6 separate regions of the Mus musculus genome follow, and regions 2, 3, 4, 5 and 6 are each reported to be linked to region 1. Evidence: microRNA targets listed by miRTarBase, many of them from high-throughput screens and not tested one by one. Region 1 holds a microRNA gene; each other region holds the end of a gene's coding sequence.

Evidence for each region. The annotated mature microRNA mmu-miR-3059-5p reads UUUCCUCUCUGCCCCAUAGGGU and lies in region 1 at 983-1,004, opposite strand. An mRNA with a match to its seed (bases 2 to 7 or 8) in the 3' UTR can be bound and repressed. Matches are read on the target gene's strand: a 7mer-m8 pairs with bases 2 to 8, a 7mer-A1 pairs with bases 2 to 7 and ends in A, and an 8mer does both.
Region 2: the mRNA of Nat14 is a reported target of mmu-miR-3059-5p. Seed matches in the 3' UTR shown: 7mer-A1 at 2,474-2,480.
Region 3: the mRNA of Emx2 is a reported target of mmu-miR-3059-5p. Seed matches in the 3' UTR shown: 7mer-m8 at 744-750.
Region 4: the mRNA of Crx is a reported target of mmu-miR-3059-5p. Seed matches in the 3' UTR shown: 7mer-A1 at 1,396-1,402.
Region 5: miRTarBase lists 1810030O07Rik as a target of mmu-miR-3059-5p. Seed matches in the 3' UTR shown: 7mer-A1 at 2,832-2,838.
Region 6: the mRNA of Fzd1 is a reported target of mmu-miR-3059-5p. Seed matches in the 3' UTR shown: 7mer-m8 at 1,101-1,107.

What each region holds. Positions count from the first base shown.
Region 1 is chr10:101,770,407-101,773,707 of GRCm38, reverse strand. Mir3059 (microRNA 3059) reads right to left here and starts at 1,016; the gene lies at 936-1,016. It also overlaps a transcript of Mgat4c not described here.
Region 2 is chr7:4,923,978-4,927,278 of GRCm38, reverse strand. It overlaps Nat14 (N-acetyltransferase 14), which reads right to left. Exons shown (of 3, transcript NM_001358881.1): 3 at 2,273-3,301. The coding sequence ends at 2,828. It overlaps Ssc5d (scavenger receptor cysteine rich family, 5 domains), which reads right to left and starts at 1,458. Exons shown (of 14, transcript NM_173008.3): 1 at 1,300-1,458; 2 at 763-789; 3 at 1-305. The coding sequence starts at 1,324.
Region 3 is chr19:59,463,608-59,466,908 of GRCm38, forward strand. It overlaps Emx2 (empty spiracles homeobox 2), which reads left to right. Exons shown (of 3, transcript NM_010132.2): 3 at 273-1,750. The coding sequence ends at 440. Among named protein-coding and RNA genes, the nearest start is that of Emx2, 6.6 kb to the left of the region's middle.
Region 4 is chr7:15,864,898-15,868,198 of GRCm38, reverse strand. Crx (cone-rod homeobox) reads left to right here. Exons shown (of 4, transcript NM_007770.4): 4 at 1-2,252. The coding sequence ends at 419. Among named protein-coding and RNA genes, the nearest start is that of Crx, 13 kb to the left of the region's middle.
Region 5 is chrX:12,655,147-12,658,447 of GRCm38, reverse strand. It overlaps 1810030O07Rik (RIKEN cDNA 1810030O07 gene), which reads left to right. Exons shown (of 7, transcript NM_175141.6): 6 at 424-586; 7 at 1,962-3,301. The coding sequence ends at 585. Among named protein-coding and RNA genes, the nearest start is that of Gm4984, 4.5 kb to the right of the region's middle.
Region 6 is chr5:4,752,814-4,756,114 of GRCm38, forward strand. It overlaps Fzd1 (frizzled class receptor 1), which reads right to left. Exons shown (of 1, transcript NM_021457.3): 1 at 1,026-3,301. The coding sequence ends at 2,839. Among named protein-coding and RNA genes, the nearest start is that of Fzd1, 3.8 kb to the right of the region's middle.

The DNA.
Region 1 (3,301 bases):
AAAAGTCAGCACCGATGATTGGAAACTGAAATGAGTACCCAACAGTCATCAAACTGATGTGAAAATAAGAGAGAGTGAGATATCCTTGGGTTATGGTTTATTACTTTAAGGTGACTTGTTTATGAAAATAAAAGCATTCCTAACCCAAAAGTCAGACTGATAAACCTATAAATATTTATGAAGAAGTAACTTTGTGCCGATTGTGAGAATCTGTATTAAAATCTCTCACCCGCACACACGTATCACTAAGCTTTAGGTAGATAGTAATTTCATCTGAATTAAAATATTCTTTTTTTAGACAGTAATAGGCTCAGGAAGACAGAGAAACTTGCGCAGCTGTGAATGATCAGAAAGTTTCAAGATTCATAACATCTCTTCCTCAATATCAGAAAGACACAGTAAATTTGCTGAGGCAAAATGTTTCTCTGCAGTATAGCTCTAAGCAAGCTCTACACGGAACTTCCTGGAATGAGAAGTTCATAAGTTCTCACCCATGCTAGTGTGAACGTTTCAGAAATGTTGTTGACTTTGAGTCATCGAAGCCCCTGTATACAACCACAATGAACTCATTCGGTCACTAAGGTAGACTTGGATATAAGGATCTTTACCTGTCTGTCAAGTACTCTACTGGTTAAGAGACATTTGTTCATGTCTTCTCAGTGAAAGTTGCCAAATACTAAGGAGTAAAGCTATGTCAGGGACATCATATTTGAAACCATTACAACCAAACATGAACATTTTAAAATCAAGTTTACAAAAAATAAAGACTTGAATTTGAATATTAATTGTTTTGGCACCTTGAATTAGATTTTGCAATTGGACTGTAGTGAGGAAGATGGACCATTATACAGCATGTTCTGCATATGTTAATCTTAGCACACCCAGACAGTGAAAAGAATGTGTTTGCAGATAATTACTGAGTTGTAGAAATAGTAAGGCTGTTCACCCAACCTTCTCTTCCCTAGAGGGTAGTTAGAGCTACACCCTATGGGGCAGAGAGGAAAGGGCGTACCACCTGTGATACACCTGTGTAAAATTAAAACAGAAAATTAAAAGCTCCTGTTATCAATAGAAATACATTTAAAGTTTAAAGAGTAACATTGGAAGTCAAGAGTAAGCAAAATGGGGGCGATTGGGGGGGGATCAGGCACATAAAATAGTTGGCATCTGGAAGAAATGTTTCCAATTTTTATGCAATAAAAGGATTCTAGAGGAATAAAAGCAGATTTTATCCAAATGAAGCTCTAAATTAGGAAGACAGCCACATGCTTCTATGAATATAAGTTCCAATTTGAATTTATTCTTCTGATTTTGGAGCCTAAATTATACAATACAGTAGACATAATATAATGTCCAATATAATTGAGCATTTCTTGTAAATTCAAGAAGAATTTGGGAATTTCAGAAACAACTTCTATTAGGTACTCAAATGTGCCAAAACATTGTATTGACACAGGGTGTAGTTAATACCTAAAATAACTTTCTATTTTAAAATGTTGGTAAAATCTGTATGGATGGATTAGTAACCCTGCCTAAATGAAAATATGTCATTTTCTATTAAATTACAAATATATAAACTGAAAACCTCATTTGAGGAACAGCTTTGTGTTCAAATTGTTGTATCAAATAATTCTATATTCTTATTTGAATCAATTAGAGTTTCCTTCAGCTCTTTTTAAAATTTTATTTTTTTCTTTGTTTGTTTACACTCCAGATTTTATTCCCCTCCTGGTCCACCCTCTGACTGTCTCCCATCCTATTTCTCCTCCCCACCCATTGTCTCCATCAGTATGTTACCACCATCCCACCCCATAATTCCTATAAACTCTCTGGGACCTCCAGTCTTTTGAGGGTTATGTGCATCTTCTCTAGCTGAACCCAGACCAGGCAGTCCTCTGCTGTATATGGGTTGGGAGGGCCTCATCTCAACCGATATATGCTGGTACATGCTGTCTGGTTGGTGATCCAGTGTCTGAGAGATTTCAGGGGTCTAGGTTAATTGAGACTTCTAGTCCTCCTATAGGGTCGCCCACCTCCTTCAGCTTTAGCAAAAATAAATAAACTCAAAACTTAAACTAACAATTTGATGATTTATTTTTAATGAAGCTGACTATAAGATCTCTCTATTACTCTAGAAGGATATAGCATTACTTCTGACTTGGCTTTTCTGCTAGCTTTTGTAGGGACTTATATTAAGGTTTATATTTCAAGCAGACTTCATATATTTTCTCTGCTTCTAAGAATCTGACACTTAATTTTCCAGAAGGCATAATCAACACACTGTAATTCTTTTTAGCACTTGCCAGTTCTCTGGGATTTGATATGCCTGTTCAAGCTGGCTCTGACTCTCTGACACTCGTCGACATCTGAATAGAAATGCCAAACGTCCCCTCCTAAGTCGTGGTAATGCTGCTGCTCTCTGGTCAGTCTGATATACATCCAGATCAACATGGCCAAGTTTTCTATTAAAGGATGGGTGTTCTCCTCAGTGCTATTTCTTCCTAAAAGGCTATACCTAGAACACCAATGAATAACTTACAGTTTATTTAAGAAATTATATATATGTATATATGTGACCATTGATTATCTACATCATTAATCTCAATTAATTGTATAAAGATGAATAACTATTATGCTAGGTATTTTCAGTGTGCCCTTAAAAAGTGATGGCTATGTCTCCTTATTAGTCCATTTCATTGGACTTTGTATTAGATCCAAATGTAGTCATTTAAAAGTGTTACATAACTCATGTGTCACCTGATCTATTTAAAGCTTCCTGCCAGGAAACTGTGCTCTCTTTGGAATTATGCCCTCCATTTCCATGACATGGCCAACTTGCAGTGAATTGGCAAAGACAAAGTGTTAGAAGTGAATGAAATGCTGGGTTCGGCACCAGGAATTAGACTAACTGATTTTAAATGTGTGTCTCAACACTCTTTATGTCATCTTGGGAATGCCTCTAATATACTCAAAGCAAGGTTTCAATGGAGATTTAATGAACTAATGTCTGTAAAAATCTTTTTAAAGCTTGATTTATAGTCGTAATCATTTCAAATTTAAACTATTTTTTCTCAATGTTGGTAGAAATGCTGCTGAACTATAAGTTTAGTTTTCTTAAATTGTCTTAAAACTTTTTGGACAGTGCAGTTCATTCGTGGATGTTAAGTGTTTCTGTAACTAGATGTGTTTTTTAAAAAACAGTAAGCTCAATTTAATCAACCTGCATTCATATTTTGGTTCAAATCAAAGTAGCTACTTATGTTAAATGCATGTAATAATTTTAAAACAAGTGTTTTTCCAC
Region 2 (3,301 bases), not on the chromosome of region 1:
ACAGACGACGCCTGCGTCCTCCTCATGAGAGCAGATATGGGCCTTCCAGCCCCGGTGGGGACAGATACCCAGCTGACCCTCATTGCCCCGACAGTTCAGTTCACTGAGCCATACAGGCCCAGTGCCCTCCCCGAAGAAGGCACCCCCAGGGGCTGCCAGCGCCCCTCCGCAGCCTAACACACGGCAGGCCACTTCAGCATCCCGAAGGTCCCATCCGTCATCACACACGGTGCCCCAGCGCCCGCTGTGCCAGACCTCCAGGCGTCCTGCGCAGCCATGAGGACCATCAGCCAGGCGGAGTCGCTCTGAGGGATGAAGGAAAAGCTGTGACCCCACACAGGAGTACTGTTGGCTGGGGGTCTACGGTAACACCAAGGCAGGGGGACTACCTTACAAGCTACCACCAGGAAGCCAGCTACCCTGGAGGCTGGACCCTGGTCCCAGACTCCCAGGTGCAATGAGAGGAATGTCTCAGAGATGCTGGGGGCTGTGTGGAAGGACACTGTGAACCAGGGAATTCAGGCATCCCCGGTCCTTCTGCCCCACAAGGGGGTCAAATAACCTTTCCACTCCTCTCCCCATCACTGGCCTCATAACTTTGGTCCTCTCCCATAGGTCAGCGTGCAGCTAACTCTAGAGAAGACTCATTGTCCCTGTTGGATGGCAGCAATGTCTGGGGAGTGGAATTGGGGTAGCAGAGACCAGAAGGAGAGGGGGGGAGTTGGAGCGGGGTGAGGCCAAGTGTAGAATCAGGACACTTACCTATAGCCTGGATCCCCACCAGCATTGCTGCAAAGGAGGTTGGAGGGGACAGAGTGAAGGATAAATCAGAGGGGAGGGGTCCTTTCCCCAGTGCAGGCTCCCAGCCTCAGTACAGTGGGAAGCACCCATTCACAGTCAGATTCCTCACACCTCTGAGTCAGAAACCCCACTGCTGGAATGGACTTTGGGAGGAGGCTGGGATAAGTTACAGGTCCCTGGGGTGGGTGGGGCCCCAGATGCCTGACCCTTGAAAACAGGACTGGGGACCAGATTGAATGGTGGGAGTGATAGCGCTACAGAGTACATGACAGGGCAACAAAGGGCAGGTCACTTGAGCTGCTAGGCAGGACGTGCAGAAGGCTGGGTCCCTCAGGGATTAGAGGGGCCAGCCAGATGTCAGGATATCACACTGCACCAGGGACCAGAACAGGCTCCCTCAAGTATGAGCCCCTAAACTGGAGAAGCTAACTGGGTCAGAGGTAAGGGTCCAGGCCCCTAAGGTGCTTACCCCCCCCCCCAAGGAAATGGATCACTCACCAAGGAGGCAGGCCAAGCCCCTCATGTTCGCAGAGTCCAGGGGCAGGGGATGGGGTGAAAGGGGAAGGAGGGCAGGAGAGGGGAGGAGGAGGCAGCCAGGGAGGGAAGCAGCTGCTGAGGAGCCCTGGACAGCTAGGAGCAGGCTGGGCTGAAGGCTCTGCCAGGAGGGAGAGAGGCTGCAGGGATGCAGCAGGGGACAGGAGGGGGAGGGGGCTGGCCACAGCTGAGGCTGGAGGGGGGGGTGCGGGGGGCAGGCAGAAGGGAGGTGTTCAAGTGCAAACACCCACACTGGAGGGAGGCGGCCAGCCAGGCTCCAGAGGGCCACGTGCTCAGAGATGCTTATGGGGATGGCAGCTCTGGGAAGGGGCAGGCCTGGGTGTCTGGGGGACAGGGCTGAGGGCACACCCTTCTGCCTCCTCTTATTGTCCAGCCAGGCAAGTAAGTGCAGCTGGGAGTGGACAGATTTTGGGGAATCCTGCAGTAGCATGAGGGCCTGAAGCCAGATACTAGGAGGGACTTCCTAGATCAGGAAAAGAAACTGAAAAACTCCTGTCCATTTGTCACCCACTGTGGTAAATCTGGATGGGAAGCTCCCAGTGCCGATTCGAGAAAAGAGTGTCTGAACTTATTACCAGTTCCCAGAACAAAGGTATGGAGGGTAGAGAGACTGAGGGGTCAAGGCTTCGGTCTGGAGGGGGTACACACACACACACACACACACACACACACACACACACACCAGGCAGCTGTGAGGGGGAAAACTTTGGTAATGGGGAGCATGACTCAGAAGGCCTGGCAAAGACTGGCTGCCGCTGTGAGCTCACTGCTTCTCCTCTTCCCAGCGCCCCCCCCCCCCCCCCAACACACACACTTCCCTAGCAATTAATGTCAACTTCTTCGGAGAGGAGGAGCCAGACAGAAGGAGGGAGTCTGGAGAGAGCAGCTGGAAAATGCATCAGACAGGAGACAGGCACACAGAAGTTTCAGGGTTTATTAACAAACAGTGTAAAAAACCAGATGGGCTTGGAGACACTGTGCTCCTGGCCCCACCCACTCCCAGAAGATCTGTCCCCTTTGGGAGTTCCCTGTCACAGACTCTAACTTTTAGTCTCTCTCTCTCTCTCTCTCTCTCTCTCTCTCTCTCTCTCTCTCTCTCTCTCTCTCTCTCTCTCTCTTTCCTCAAATCTCCCTTCCAGACCTCAAACACAGGCAGCAGGGGCTTTGTAGACCCAGAACCCGACGTTTTTCAGTGCATACAGACTGGGGCAGTGGGGGTGAGGCAAAGGACTGGACACGGTGACCTCTAGTGGTCCCAGAAGACCAAGAAGGGATTTGTTCTACTTGAGTTTAGAGTCCTCATTGCAGCTGGCAGGCACACTGGGAATGTAAGTCCATCAACCTCGGTGCTTCACTATCAGCCCAGCAGACTAGGTAGACACTGAGGGGGGGATGTAAAGTGCCTGGCACACAGTAGGTGTTCTTTAGGTGCTGGTTCTCTGCCCATCTATCCAGTGGGCATGGTCTCTAATCACAGGTCTTTGCTGAATTCCCTAACCAGCATATAGCCCATGCAGCCCCAGCCTCCCTCTGCCTGGTAGCCACAGGCCTCCAATAACCCTGCCACCCCCCAAGCGGCTACAGCCACTGGGACCACGAGCCGGGCCCGAGGCTCCCCCATACTTCCAGCCCATGCTCGGGCTCGAGCCTCGGCAAAGGCCAGCAGCCTTCTGCCCACGCCCCTGCGACGGTGCCATCGAGAGACAGAGAGGCGGGTGACTCGGGCTCCATCCCCCACGTTGGCACCAGGGGCCAGAGCCAGGACTCCACACACATCGCCGGAGCCACGGACAGCCACCCAGGGCCCTCCCAGGCCGCCTGGTGGAGGCAGAGAGCCCCATCGGGCTCGCAAACCCAGCTTCACAGCGGCTACAGCCAGAAACACGGGCAGCAGGAGGGCCAGGGCGAAGGAGGCCAGGATGAAGCGCAGTCCGCTGCTGGCTGC
Region 3 (3,301 bases), not on the chromosome of region 1:
GCCTTTGCTCTTAGTGGGAATTTGTGTGGGAGAAACGGCCATACTTTGGGCACTGTGGCCCTTGGGGAAAGGCTCCTTGGTAGGGTTTGGAAAGACAGGAACAAGGCTTCTCTAGAGGGGGCTTGCTCTCAGAGGGAAGGAGAAGAAAGTGGTCAGCCCTAAGGATGTATGTCTGGGGGTCTGGGGTCAGCCCTGGGCTGTGACAGGCCTCTGGTATATGATAGGAAGGCACTAAGAAGGATCTAAAGATGCCCACTTGTCTCTCCCCACAGGTAAAAGTATGGTTTCAGAACCGGAGAACGAAATTCAAAAGGCAAAAGCTAGAGGAAGAAGGCTCAGATTCTCAACAGAAGAAAAAAGGGACACACCACATTAACCGGTGGAGAATTGCTACCAAGCAGGCGAGTCCGGAGGAAATAGATGTGACCTCAGACGATTAAAAGTCCAAACCCAATCCTACAAAAATGGACAGCACAGAGCAAGAAAGACAGGGAGAGGAGGGGAAGAAAAACCCTACAAAACAAAAACAAACTGCACACACATCCACCGAGAAAGGGAGAGAGGGAATCAGAGCAGTGACGCTCGCAGCAGACTTTGGACAGCGAGGGCACTGGACCGGGAACCGGCGCCGGGCCGGGCACCGCTTACAGGACAGCAGAGGACGGAGGCCCGATCATCAACATGCAACCCTCGTCTAAAGAGGCAGCTGAGTGAGTGAGAGAGACAGAGACTGGGAGGGAGAGAGAGGAATGAGAGAGAGAGAGAGAGAGAATGAATGATCCTTGTGAGGCAAAGGCACATTCTGACAAGGGGAGCTGTCAGTCAAATGCCAAACCAGGGAAACAAGATGATTGGCGGGTATTCCGCTTATCGAAGTCCATTTAGAAATGATAATGATTTTTTTTTTTGGAAAAAAAAAGGCACAGGACTTTTAATTTTGCACTTCACAGTGTTTCCCCCTCATCTTTAATTAGAAATAACATACAAAATTCCATGTCTAGCCCCATCCTACACCTGTTTCAAAACTTGAATTGCATGTAGCAGTTGTCGGGCGAATGGTGTCTAAAAACTGAATTGTAATTTTATTCCTCTTTTAAAGACAGGTTCTGTGTATTTTTATTTTTTATTTTTTTTCTGAGAAATGTTCAGTCTGTAAAAACACTTTTTTGATACCTTCTATTGTCAAAGTGATTGTGAAAGCTAAACGAAGTAGGCTCGGAGATAGTGGTCCTCTGACAGAGAAATGAGGGAGCAGGACTGGGATGGAGGGCGGGGGAGGGTGCCCCTGAGAAGAATCAGGACTCATGCTAGGGGTAAAAACAACCCACGATAAAAGACCCAAATTAATTCTATTTCTTGGATATTTCCTTTCCTAACATTCTGATACTTTAAATCACCAAGTCAACTTTTCCTTTTAGTGGTTGGAGAGATTGACTGCATCCAGCCACTCATCATAATGGCCATTCAGAACTTTTAAGTCTGTCTATTGCAAAAGTGGAAGGAAGGACTGTATTTAATGGGGTGATGGTGGCGTGGCCAAGGACATGGGAGTTTTCAAGCACTGAGTTTCTCTTCCAAGACCATAGACTTACTAAAGAGGGTTACAAATGCTTCCTTAGTGTCTTCTATACCAGATTGTAAATATTTTTGTGTTTTGTGTTAATTTGTTAGAATTCTAACACACTATATACTTCCAAGAAGTATGTCAATGTCAATATTTTGTCAATAAAGATTTATCAATATGCCCTCAGAGTAGTTGTCTTGGGAAACTGAAGTGGATCTTTACAAAAGTAACTCTTTAATTCGAATGTGGGCCTTCTCCAGCTAGGCTCCAGAGACCCTGACTCCCCGCCCACAAAAGAGCCAGACTGGTGGCTTTTGAGGGCTTGTATTTTAAAGAGATGTGAAGGGAGATGCTTAAGACAGCCAAACTCTTTCAGAAGAGGAAGAGGAGAGAAGCTGTCCAAGCAACTTTGCTGAAGGATTTTAGTTTCAACTCCAGGCTAAAAAACTAAAACAAACAAACAAACAAAACAAAACAAAAAAAAACCCTTCACTTTACTTCTGATTTCCTTTTCTTTGTAAAGTTTAGAACCTAGTTTTGGCCTGGAGAATATTCTTAGAACCCGAGGTCTGGGGCTTCTAACTTCATTTCTGACTTCAAACCCCTTCAGGACAAGTCAGCCTCCTCTTCTCTCTTTTCTTTTCTCCTTTCCTCTCTCTTTCACTCTAATCTGCATAAAGTGAGGGAGATGAACCCAAAGGCCCCCGAAGCCTTATAAGGCAAGCATTCTGAGAGATCTTCCACTCTTAATTTTAACATTAAAGTAAAAGTTGTAACCATTCTCAAAGAAAACTTCGCTCTTTCCCTGTCCTCCCCCTGCCGAGGGTATGAGGTTGTTTTTTGCATGCTTCATTTGCTTCCTATCCCGATAGGCTGCATTAATCAGTTTTATTTCCATTGATAGAGAAACCTCGTCTGTTCTGTTCGAGCTACAAAGCGTCCTGTGAGCTTTTGTGAAAGTGCAAATCAGTTTAAGCAATTATCATACCAGGAATATGAAGGGAAAAGAGGAGGCCTTGCCCAGTGGTCTCCTTTAATCTCTTAATCCACGGATCCAGGGGGGCTGCCTGGACATAATTTAGGACAATCTCCCCCACCCTTTACACTGTGATAAGGCCAAGTTACAATGCAGGGGCAAAAATACAAGCTTTGTTAACATCCTGCCTTGAAAAGTTAAGATTAGACATTCCGTGCACGTGTGGGGACTTTAGGGCACTATGGAATCTTTTCTTTCTGTTTTTCCTCCCCTCCTCTAAAGGAGAATTCATTCTCTGTTTCTCTCCCTCTTATTTTTTTTTTCTTCTTGCCCCTGTATCTCTGTTTATCACCCTTCTCCCCTTGGTCTTGGTCCCTGGGCAGACCTGGCTGCTCATACTTTGAGCTCACAAAGGCCGTTCCTCTGGAGTTTGTATTGTGGGTACCGGTAGTAGAGAGGTTTCAGGAAGATCCGGGCTTGCCTTCCACAGGGACAGGTGCAACTCGGGAATTCCACAAAGATGCGTGGGGCTTGGGCTGCTTCCACAGTGGGATGGTCCATCACTGACTGTTCTCCCTTTTGCTAAGAGCAGGTTACTTTCTTCATGCATCCCACCCTCCCAAACCTGGAATGGTTTGGATATAGAGTAGAGTATAGTCTCCTTACAACTGAGACTGACCCTTTTATTTAAAAAAGTACCATCTTGGAAAAAAGCTTTCTGCAGTAACCATAAACTTAAATTTAAGTACGAGAAAGGGGAG
Region 4 (3,301 bases), not on the chromosome of region 1:
CCATTTGGAGTCCAGCCTCAGAGGCTCCTTTGCCTGAGGCCCAGAGAGCCGGCCTAGTGGCTTCTGGGCCCTCTCTCACCTCAGCCCCTTATGCCATGACCTATGCCCCGGCTTCTGCTTTCTGTTCTTCCCCTTCAGCTTATGCATCTCCAAGTTCCTATTTCAGTGGGTTGGATCCCTACCTTTCGCCCATGGTGCCCCAACTTGGGGGTCCGGCTCTCAGCCCCCTCTCAGGCCCCTCTGTGGGGCCATCCCTGGCCCAGTCCCCCACCTCCTTGTCAGGCCAGAGCTATAGCACCTACAGTCCTGTGGACAGCCTGGAATTCAAGGACCCCACAGGCACCTGGAAATTTACCTACAATCCCATGGACCCTCTGGACTACAAAGATCAGAGTGCCTGGAAGTTTCAGATCTTGTAGAAGGGGCTTCATATCCCCCCTTCCAGCGGAATCACTCTTTCTGGACTCAAGCTGTCTCCTCCAGCTTAGATTCCAGGAGAGTAGCTCTCAGCAAGCAACAGCAAGTAGCAATCCTGCCAAAGGCTGTGAACCATTCAGCCTCAGGTGTTTCCTACCCTCAGCTCCTTTAGAGAGCTTAGCCCCTTTACAGCATACCCCAAGCAATGAAAGTGGCTCCTTCCTCTCTCAAGACAGCCCAGCAGCAGTCAGTACAGGTCATGACTGATGTGCATATCTGATGCTTTTCCCCAGTCTTCCGTAAAGGTGCTGAGAACTTGCTCTGGAGAAAAAGGAAATCTGTCTTGCAAATGACTTGGAGAATGTTTGGCTTAGAACTCCGGGTGCCCTGAGCCAGGTGTGTTGACTGACTCAATGGTCATAATCCCAGCATGAAAGAAGATGAGGCAGGAGGATTGCTGGGAACTTGAGGCCAGCCTGGACTACAAAGTGAGACCTCCAAATTCATTTGGAAAACGTATACAGTTAAAGTTAATAAACATCAGGTTTACATGGTAGGTTTAGGGGATCATTCATTTGAACATGTATATATGATTTAAATGTATATATGATTTATGTGTCTGTCTGTGTGTTACAGACATGACCACTAAACTGAGCTGGGATGCTGTGGCTTGTATAAAAACAAAATGCAAAAGAAGCTTGATGTGGATATTGGGGAGGACTTGAAAGATAAATAGAATGTTCTAGAGCCCAAGATGCCCCCGTCAGAGGTTCCTAGGGTTAGATTGAGGGGGCACAAGTGATGAAGTCTTCCAGATGCCTATAGGAGTTGAATCTCAAGAGGCTGGAAGTCTTATTCATGGGTATACCTGGGTAAAGGACTTTTAGAAATCCATAGAGTATGTCTAATGTCTTAGTTAGTCTTAGTCCAATGCCTTTCTATTCCTGCACAAACATCATGATCAAGAAGCGAGTTGGGGAGGAAAGGGTTTATTTAGCTTATACTTTTTACAATGTTGGTCATCACCAAAGGAAGGCAGAACTGGAACTCAAGCAGGTCAGGAAGCAGGAGCTGATGTAGAGGCCATGGAGGGATGTTACTTACTGGCTTGCTTCCTCTGACTTGCTCAGTTTGCTTATAGAACCCAAGACTACCAGCCCAGGGATGGCACCACCCACAAGGGGCCCTCCCGTCTTGATCACTAATTGAGAAAATGCCTTATAGCCGGATCTCATGGAGGCATTTCCTCAACTGAAGCTCCTTTCTCTGTGATAACTCTAGCTTGTGTTATCAAAACCAGCCAGTACACCCAATATTCTTTTTAAAAAAGATTTTATATGAGTACACATTAGCTATCTCCAGACACACCAGGAAAGGGCATGGATCTCATTACAGATAGTTGTGAGCCACCACATAGTTACTGGAAATTGAACCTAGGACTTCTGGAAGAGCAGTCAATGTTCTTAATTGCTGAGTCATCTCTCCAGTCCATGGACATATTCTATTTCATAAACCAGGAGTGATGGCACATGCTTGTGATTTCAACACGAGGGAGGTAGAGGCAGAAGGACAATGAGTTCAAGGTCATTCTAGGCTACAATGCAAGTTTGAGGCCAGCCTGGGCTACATAAAACCCTGTTGCACTCCCACCCCTGCAAATCCTTCTTTCCAAGCCACAAGGCTGATAAGGCAGATGGACATAGAATGAGGAGGTCAGGAGTTCCCCTCATTTAATGTTAGCTTCTCTGTTCTCTTCTTTCCTTCTTACTAGCCTATCAGGTCTCCCTTCCCTGGCTACCCAGAGTGAAACTGATTAAAAATGTGGATCCCACTTACATCTGGGTGTTTTTTTTTCCTCTTTGTTTCTGTGTGATTTTTTTTTTTTTTTTGGGGTGAGGGGCAAACTTGTTTAGGTAGAAAGAAATTAAGATTTGCTTTGTCCTTTCTGCCCATAGTGTGCTCCTGGATATTTTCTGTTTGGCAATGCTTTTCTCCGTATCTTCTAAAAGTCAGCTAAGGGGGAACACAGGACCAGGGCAGCTAGAGAAGGCCTGGGATCCCAGCCTGGGAGCTGAGGAGGAGGATCTCAAGTTTAAGATCTGCCTAGGAAACTTAATCACAGATACTTTTTAAAAATTTTTATTTTTTCTTTCTTTTTTTTCATTTTTATTAGATATTTTCTTCATTTACATTTCAAATGCTATCCCAAAAGTCCCCTATACCCTCCCCCCAACCCTGCTCCCCAACTCACCCACTCCCGCTTCATGGCCCTGGCATTCCCCTGTACTGGGGCATATGATCTTCGCAATACCAAGGGCCTCTCCTCCCATTGAGGATGACTAGGCCATCCTCTGGTACATATGCAACTAGAGACACAGTTTTGTGGGGATACTGGTTAGTTCATCTTGTTGATCCTCCCATAGGGTTGCCGACCCCTTTAGCTCCTTGGATACTTTCTCTAGCTCCTCCATTGGGGGCCCTGTGTTCCATCCAATAGATGATTGTGAGCATCCACTTCTGTATTTGCCAGGCACTGGCATAGACTCACAAGAGATAGCTATATCAGGGTCCTGTCAGCAAAATCTTGCTGGTATATGCAATAGTGTCTGGGTTTGGTGGTTGACTGCCCCACCGGGGGATCCATTCCATACACAGATATGTTTTAAAAGAGTGTAGGTCAGGATACAACACCTGCCTAGAATCTCCCAGTGAGGGGCTGAGGGTGTGGCTCAGTGGTAGAGTCCCTGCCTAGAATCTCCCAGTGAGGGTCTGGGGGTGTGGCTCAGTGATACAGTACTTGTCTAGAATATTGAAGGCCCTAGGTTCAGTTCCTCATAGAACAAAAAGAATATAAGTCAGTTCTAACTGTAGGCATCATCACAGC
Region 5 (3,301 bases), not on the chromosome of region 1:
TTTTTTGGTATAGGCCTGCAACTTGTGTTCATTTTTCCTCCCTCAGCTTTCAAACTGCTGACTTTAAGAGGTGTGAAAACCATGCCTGGCTAAGTGTACCTTTTGTGTGTGTGTGTGTGTGTGTGTGTGTGTGTGTGTGTGTGCTTGGTTCAGTATTTCTTCACAATGCCATCCACTCAACCTCTGTGTAGATGCTTGCCAGTAGTCCGCATTTCTGTCTTGTAGTAGGCATATAAACAGAACAGGTGGTTTAGGGCAAGAGTGAAGCTGGAAGGCAGTACCTTGCACATGCCAAGTGTGCTCCTGCTGCCGAGCTTCTCCTGCAGCCCTGGGAACCAATCTTGAGATTACACTGTTCCATTTTAATTGAATTCTGTTACAGTAATTATCCTAAGCAGCATTTTGTACACTTTCCTCTTACAGATCTCAAATCAACTGGATGTGGTGAAAGGTTTTCTGGGAAGCAACACAGATCTTAGAAACGGCCTTACAGAAGACTTGCAGAAGCTAGAGAGCCTCCATCTACAGCATCAAAAACAAACTTCAAAGGATGCCGGTAGACAGACACCTGAAAGGAAGGCTTGAGGTGAGTGTAGGTACTGAATGTTAAAGAGGGACACAATAGCCTTATCCCTTTGATGTCTGACTTCTCATATGAACCAACAGTCTCACTTGCTCTTCGCTGTGCCCTTACTATTAGAAAGGAAGGTTGGGAATGGTGATGTATAGCTTTAATCTCAGCATATGGGGAGCAGAGACAGGTTGATCTCTGTAAGTTCAAGGCCAGTCTGGTCTACAAAGTGAGATCCAGGCTAGCCAAGACTATACATACATAGTGAGCCTGTCTTAAAACAAACAAACATAGAAACCTTTTCAAAAGCAGGCCAAGTGCCTGTTCTGTCATTAGTGGCTCACAGACCTGTGAAAGCTCAACATTCTGGAGCAAGGTCAGCCACATAACCCTGAAGGCAAGGTCTGGTGTTAGCTGAGCCACTATATCATTTGTGACATGGTCTAAAACCATTCTGCTTTCAGATGATGCCCGGGATACCCAGTTTTCACTGTAGCATTAATTGTGCTTGGCTAGTGTCCATTAGAAAGCTGATTAATGTAAATATCTCTACTGTTCTTCTCCCAAATAATAATGAAAATACGGTCTTATTTTACATTGTCCTTCGCAACATCCAGGCTTGTTTTGTGAAAGTTGGCCTGGCTTCCAGGTCAGGCCTCCTTCTCTGTGCAGAGAGGAAACATTTCTAAAGCACACAAGTTTCTGTTGTGTGCCTTTCTATAATGCATCAGAGATACTTTTTTCATATTCATCAACTTGGAATTATGTGATGTGCCAGGAATGGTGCGGGAAGTAAGTGTCCAAATAAAAATGTTTAACTTTGTTTTTACTTATGATAAAGGAAAGAGGAAAGTGGTCGTTTTCTACCATTTCCTCTTGAGTGTGGAACTGTTACTGTGGGCTCGAAGCCAGAGACAGAAGTGAAGCAAGAAGGTTTATGCCTGTGACCTCAACTACTCCAAAAGCTGGGCTAGGAGGATCCCAAGTTCTAGGCCAGCCAGGGCAACTTCGGGAGCCCCTATTTCAAAATGAAAACAAATCGTAAGGAGGTGGATGTGAGGCAGTTATACAACATTTTCTTCCTCTGCCCGACCCTGGTGTCAGTTCTCAGCTCGCTGTCCCCAAAGACGGAGCAAAGCACGCACACTTGCAGCATCTCCTGAGTACTGCAGCTCAGGCTCTGGGACTGTGTGGTTCTGGAAATGCTAGGAAAGTGCTTGGAAACTTCATTCTTAGCAGTAGTCAAACAAAACTTTCTCTTTCACCGTGCTCATAAATTCATTCCCAGCTCTGCTCTTCTTGAACTGTGTGGAAGCCTTGTACTATTGTGTGCAGTGTTCTGTGGGAGTCAGACTCACTTCCATTTCTTCCTCGGTCTGCTCATTCCCAGGGTCTTTGCCATTAGACTGCTTCATGTCACCTCTGGACGTTACTATGTTCCCCGAACTACCTAGAAGAAACGCTCCATGCCAAGGCTCGGCAAAGATGAAGTCACTCCCTCACCTGGCCAGCTGCCTGCCCAACAGGGATCCTCCAGAGAGGGGGTAGCAATAGAAACTGGATTTGGCATGTATTTCAACTTTATAACCCAAATGAATACAAATGTGCTTTCAGCTTGCTTATTTAATCTTCCAGGTTGCTGTTTAGTTTTCAGTGTTATGGTTTCTTTCTCCCTTCATTTGTGAAAGTCCTTGAGAAGACTTCAAGCAAAGCAAGATTTTGCATTTATTTTGCCACTTTGCCATAGGAAAAAAAATCAATTCCCTTCTAGATCTGAAGTACAAAACATAGAATGTTGATGCACTAACCCACAAAGACCTGGTTTCTAACTGTAGGAAGTTTGAGATCCTAACCTTTCATTTTATTCTTGTCTAGTTATTTTGTCCTTATCAATTCAACACACACCAAGTGTCAAACCTGTGCCAGACATTGAAACGAGTGGTGAAATCCAGTCTTACTACCTTCATCTGCCACTCGGACAGTTCAGAGGTTCTGTTCAGAGAACTATACCAGTAACATTACAGTGAATTGAAACAGAAAAGGCAAGACCCTTGTATAAAGGGCTCGAAGACAGATGTGCTGAATACAGAGGTAGCGGCCTGTCCCACGTCTCTTCCACAGAACTGTGCCTGGGTATGTCCGAATGGATGTTCACAAGTTGAGGACCTACTAAATAAGTTGTAGAACATCTGTACTATGCCACCTGTCTTAGTAAGGGTTCTATTCCTGCACAAACATCGTGACCAAGAAGCAAGTTGGGGAGGAAAGGGTTTATTCAGCTTACACTTCCATACTGCTGTTCATCACCAAAGGAAGTCAGGACTGAACTCACACAGGTCAGGAAGCAGGAGCTGATGCAGAGGCCATTGAGAGATCTTCCTTACTGGCTTGCTTTCCACTGGCTTGCTCAGCCTGCTCTCTTATAGAACCCAAGACTACCAGCCCAGAGATGGCACCACCCACAATGGACCCTCCACCCTTGACCACTAATTGAGAAAATGCCTTACAGCTGGATCTCGTGGAGGCATTTCCCCAACTGAAGCTCCCTTCTCAGTGATAACTGCAGCTGTGTCAACTGACACACAAATCCAGCCAGTCCACCACATAACTATTCTAAAGAATGACCCCATAATGAAGTGCAGTCATGGGAATTACCTGTAAGGCATCTAAAGGAAAGAAACGGTTTGAAGGGTGGACTGGAGCTCCGTGGTGGGGCGCTTGCCTACCCAG
Region 6 (3,301 bases), not on the chromosome of region 1:
AATTGTCATAAATATTTCTCCCACAAGTTACATAATTACCTAATGAGACATGTTCTCATTTGGTTAAAGAATTACTGTTTTTTTTTCATGTCTATCTCTATATAAAAGCTTCTCAAATGCCATCTTTTCTATTAATGTAACAACCAAAAATTGTTTCTTCCAACTTTAAATGTGTATTTTCCATTAAATTAAAATGTTTAATATCTTAAATGAATTAAGACTTATAACACAATTTCCTGATAACCATAAAAGCCACTCTGGTGCATTAATGGATTCTCTTTAGCCCTTTGTCTTTTGATTTTAGAAAGTAATGAAAAATATAATAAAAATATTTTAAATCTCCAGATATTTGAAGTTTTCTAATAGGGTTCTATTTCTCATATTATTCCCATATTATAAAATGTAAATTGTTATTTCTATTTTGCTGTATATATAGTCACATGCATGTGTACAGGTATATGTACATGCACGCATATCAATTCTGAGGTCACATAGGAAATTCCTCTGTGAAAGGTTCTCTGAACAATACAGATGGAATCTTCAGAAGTAAACAACAACAACAAAACGCTTCCACAGCCTACTGCCATCTTAGATGCTTATAAACAGAGTCCGTGACCACATACTGATTGCCTGTTTATGGGTTTTCGGATGTGCACGGTAATGGAAAAAAACAAGACAATACCTCATAGAACATCACAAAGGCACCCAACTGAAAGATAAACCTCTGTCAAATAAAAGTCATGTAAATGTATTCCCTGAAAGAAAGAAAAAAGCCTCAGTGTTAAAATTAGAGTTAGACTTTAAAAATAATATTGTTTGAAAATATTCTATTTTCTGCTACCATGAAAACAGCCTTGGCATGGGACTCTACACATGCCATTCAGAAGGCAGGCTGGTTGCACTTTGCAAGGGTGGATTTTTCCATTGAATCTTTTAGCTTTGTATATTGTGGACTGGTTGTGAGGCATTGTAAAATGTAAAGGCAGTTCAGATAGGACGATTGTTTTCAGGCACACACAGAAAAATGTAATTTTGTACAAAACTTTCATTTTTTTATTTGCGAAATTAAAAATATGGCATTTTATATATATAAACTTCTATTCCTCTATAAATATAGATGATCTCATGGTGGTGAGAATAATAATAACAATAATAACAATAATAATGCATACCAAATCCAAAAACCAATGTCATTTTAGGGTATGACAGACATAGATAAATTTAGGTCCTATGTATGTATCGGCATTTGTGATAAACTCTTAAGGTTTAAACACTACAATCAGGAGGACTGCTTTTCTCCTCTTCTTCATCCATAACTAAAGTGAGTATTTTTAAATGGCTTTGAGAGATTTACATTTGACACACTGCCGTAAATCCAGACAGGAGCACACAAGATGGGATGCAGTAGGAATGGACACACTTCCCCTTCAGCATGCATGCCTAGGTCGTGTTTGTCTCTCTCACCCATCCGTCAGTCCACCGCCTCTGTCTTCGGAAGTCCAACCAGGCTTTCTGCGGGGGTGTGACTGTTTCTCCCTCAGAATGTGCTGCTGAGGAGTAAGCAAAGTGTATTGTTGATTGTGTACAACTTTTAGATTGCAAAGACACATCTAATTGCAGTTTGGCTAAAACCAGAAAACAGCGTTTCACTTGGAGTAACTCCACTTCACTGAAATCTCCTTAGGTTTCCATACTCTGTGTATGTTCTACTATCCTGTTAAGGAAGGTAAACCATTCCTTCACCAAGCTTCCCAGGCAACCTCGAGGTCTGCATTTCATAGAAGGGTAAAATCTAGAAGCAGGCAGCATCACAGGGGGAAGAAAGTAGGTTGCCAGACATCAGAATGCAATTAGAACTAATGTTTTATAACCTCTCTCTTTAGCCTCTCCCAACCCACAAAGCTTGCTGCTCTTTCCATGATGATGACCAGACCCAGAGCAAGTTCCAGATACTAGAGAGTAAAAATGAGCTCATCCATAAAAAGTCAGACTCTCCAAAGTTCGCTATCGGTCGGTTACTGCACTCCCTCTGAACAACTTAGGTGCAAGGAGAAAGACACTGGGCAAGGGACACCGGGGTACAGGGAGGCTGGGTCAACTGGCAGAGCCCATACTGGGGTCCTCTAATAAAGCTGGAAGGTGGATCTCAAATAAGCAGCATCAGGAAGTCACAGGGACAGCCATCCACACTCTACCGCTGAAAAGGGGAGGATCTGGAATGGGCGGGGCCCACCTCGGGATCTGGAAGCTTTACAGAGTTCTGCACCTTAAAATTTCCCACTGCAAGCAAGGAAGGGGAGGGGCGGGAGATGCTGAAGGAAATGACCCTGGAGAGGCAGGCCCATGCTCCCTTGACAAAGATGAGGGCACAGGGCAAAGCACTTAGTCAAGTGTGCTCTGTTTTACCTCCTCTGCAATCTGCAGAAAAGGGCAAGTGAGAAAAGCTCCAAATACGTAAATTGCCCTAAATAATTAAACATTTTTAAAAAGAAAAAAAAACTGCGTGTTCGATAGTCTTTAAATACAAATATACGTACAAAAATCTTACACAGGCTATTTACAATCATAAAAGCGTACAATCCTGGTATCAGAGAGGGCTAGAGAGATCGGTCCACACGCACATACACATACACCTCGATCAGTTGGGCCCTCTCGTTCCTTTACCCCAGGGACGGAAGCTTTTGCAGAACCTGTGCTGTTTGTTGGGAAAGGGGCCTGCAAAAGTCAGTGGCTGGCGAGGAAGCCTGGAGTGGCCAGGCTTGGCAGGAATTCCTTGGGGCCAGCTTCCAGGCGATGGCTAGGATCAGGCCAAAAAAGGGTAAGGTAAGAGTCTGGGTTTCAGACGGTAGTCTCCCCCTGTTTGCTGTTGGTAAGCCTCGTGTAGAACTTCCTCCAGGAATTCAGTGTCTTGCCGGACCAGATCCAGAAGCCCGATGTGATGCCCACAATCAGCGTCATGAGATACTTGATCATGAAGACTGTAAAGTCTGGGCTCATGGGCGGGTGTGGTGGGACTCCTCCACCTCCCTGGAGGTGAGGGCAAGGGATGGCATAACTCTTGCAGCTCTGGGCCACCCAGCTGCGCTCCCACTGGTCCCGAAAGGCCTGTTCATAGAAGTAGCAGGCGATGACGATGGTGGCCGGCACAGTGTAGAGGACACTGAAGACTCCGATGCGCACCATGAGCTTCTCCAGCTTCTCTGTCTTGGTGCCGTCATGCTTCATGATGGTGCGGATGCGGAAGAGTGACACGAAACCGGCCAGCAGGAAAGAAGTGCCAATGAACAGATAAACGAAGAGA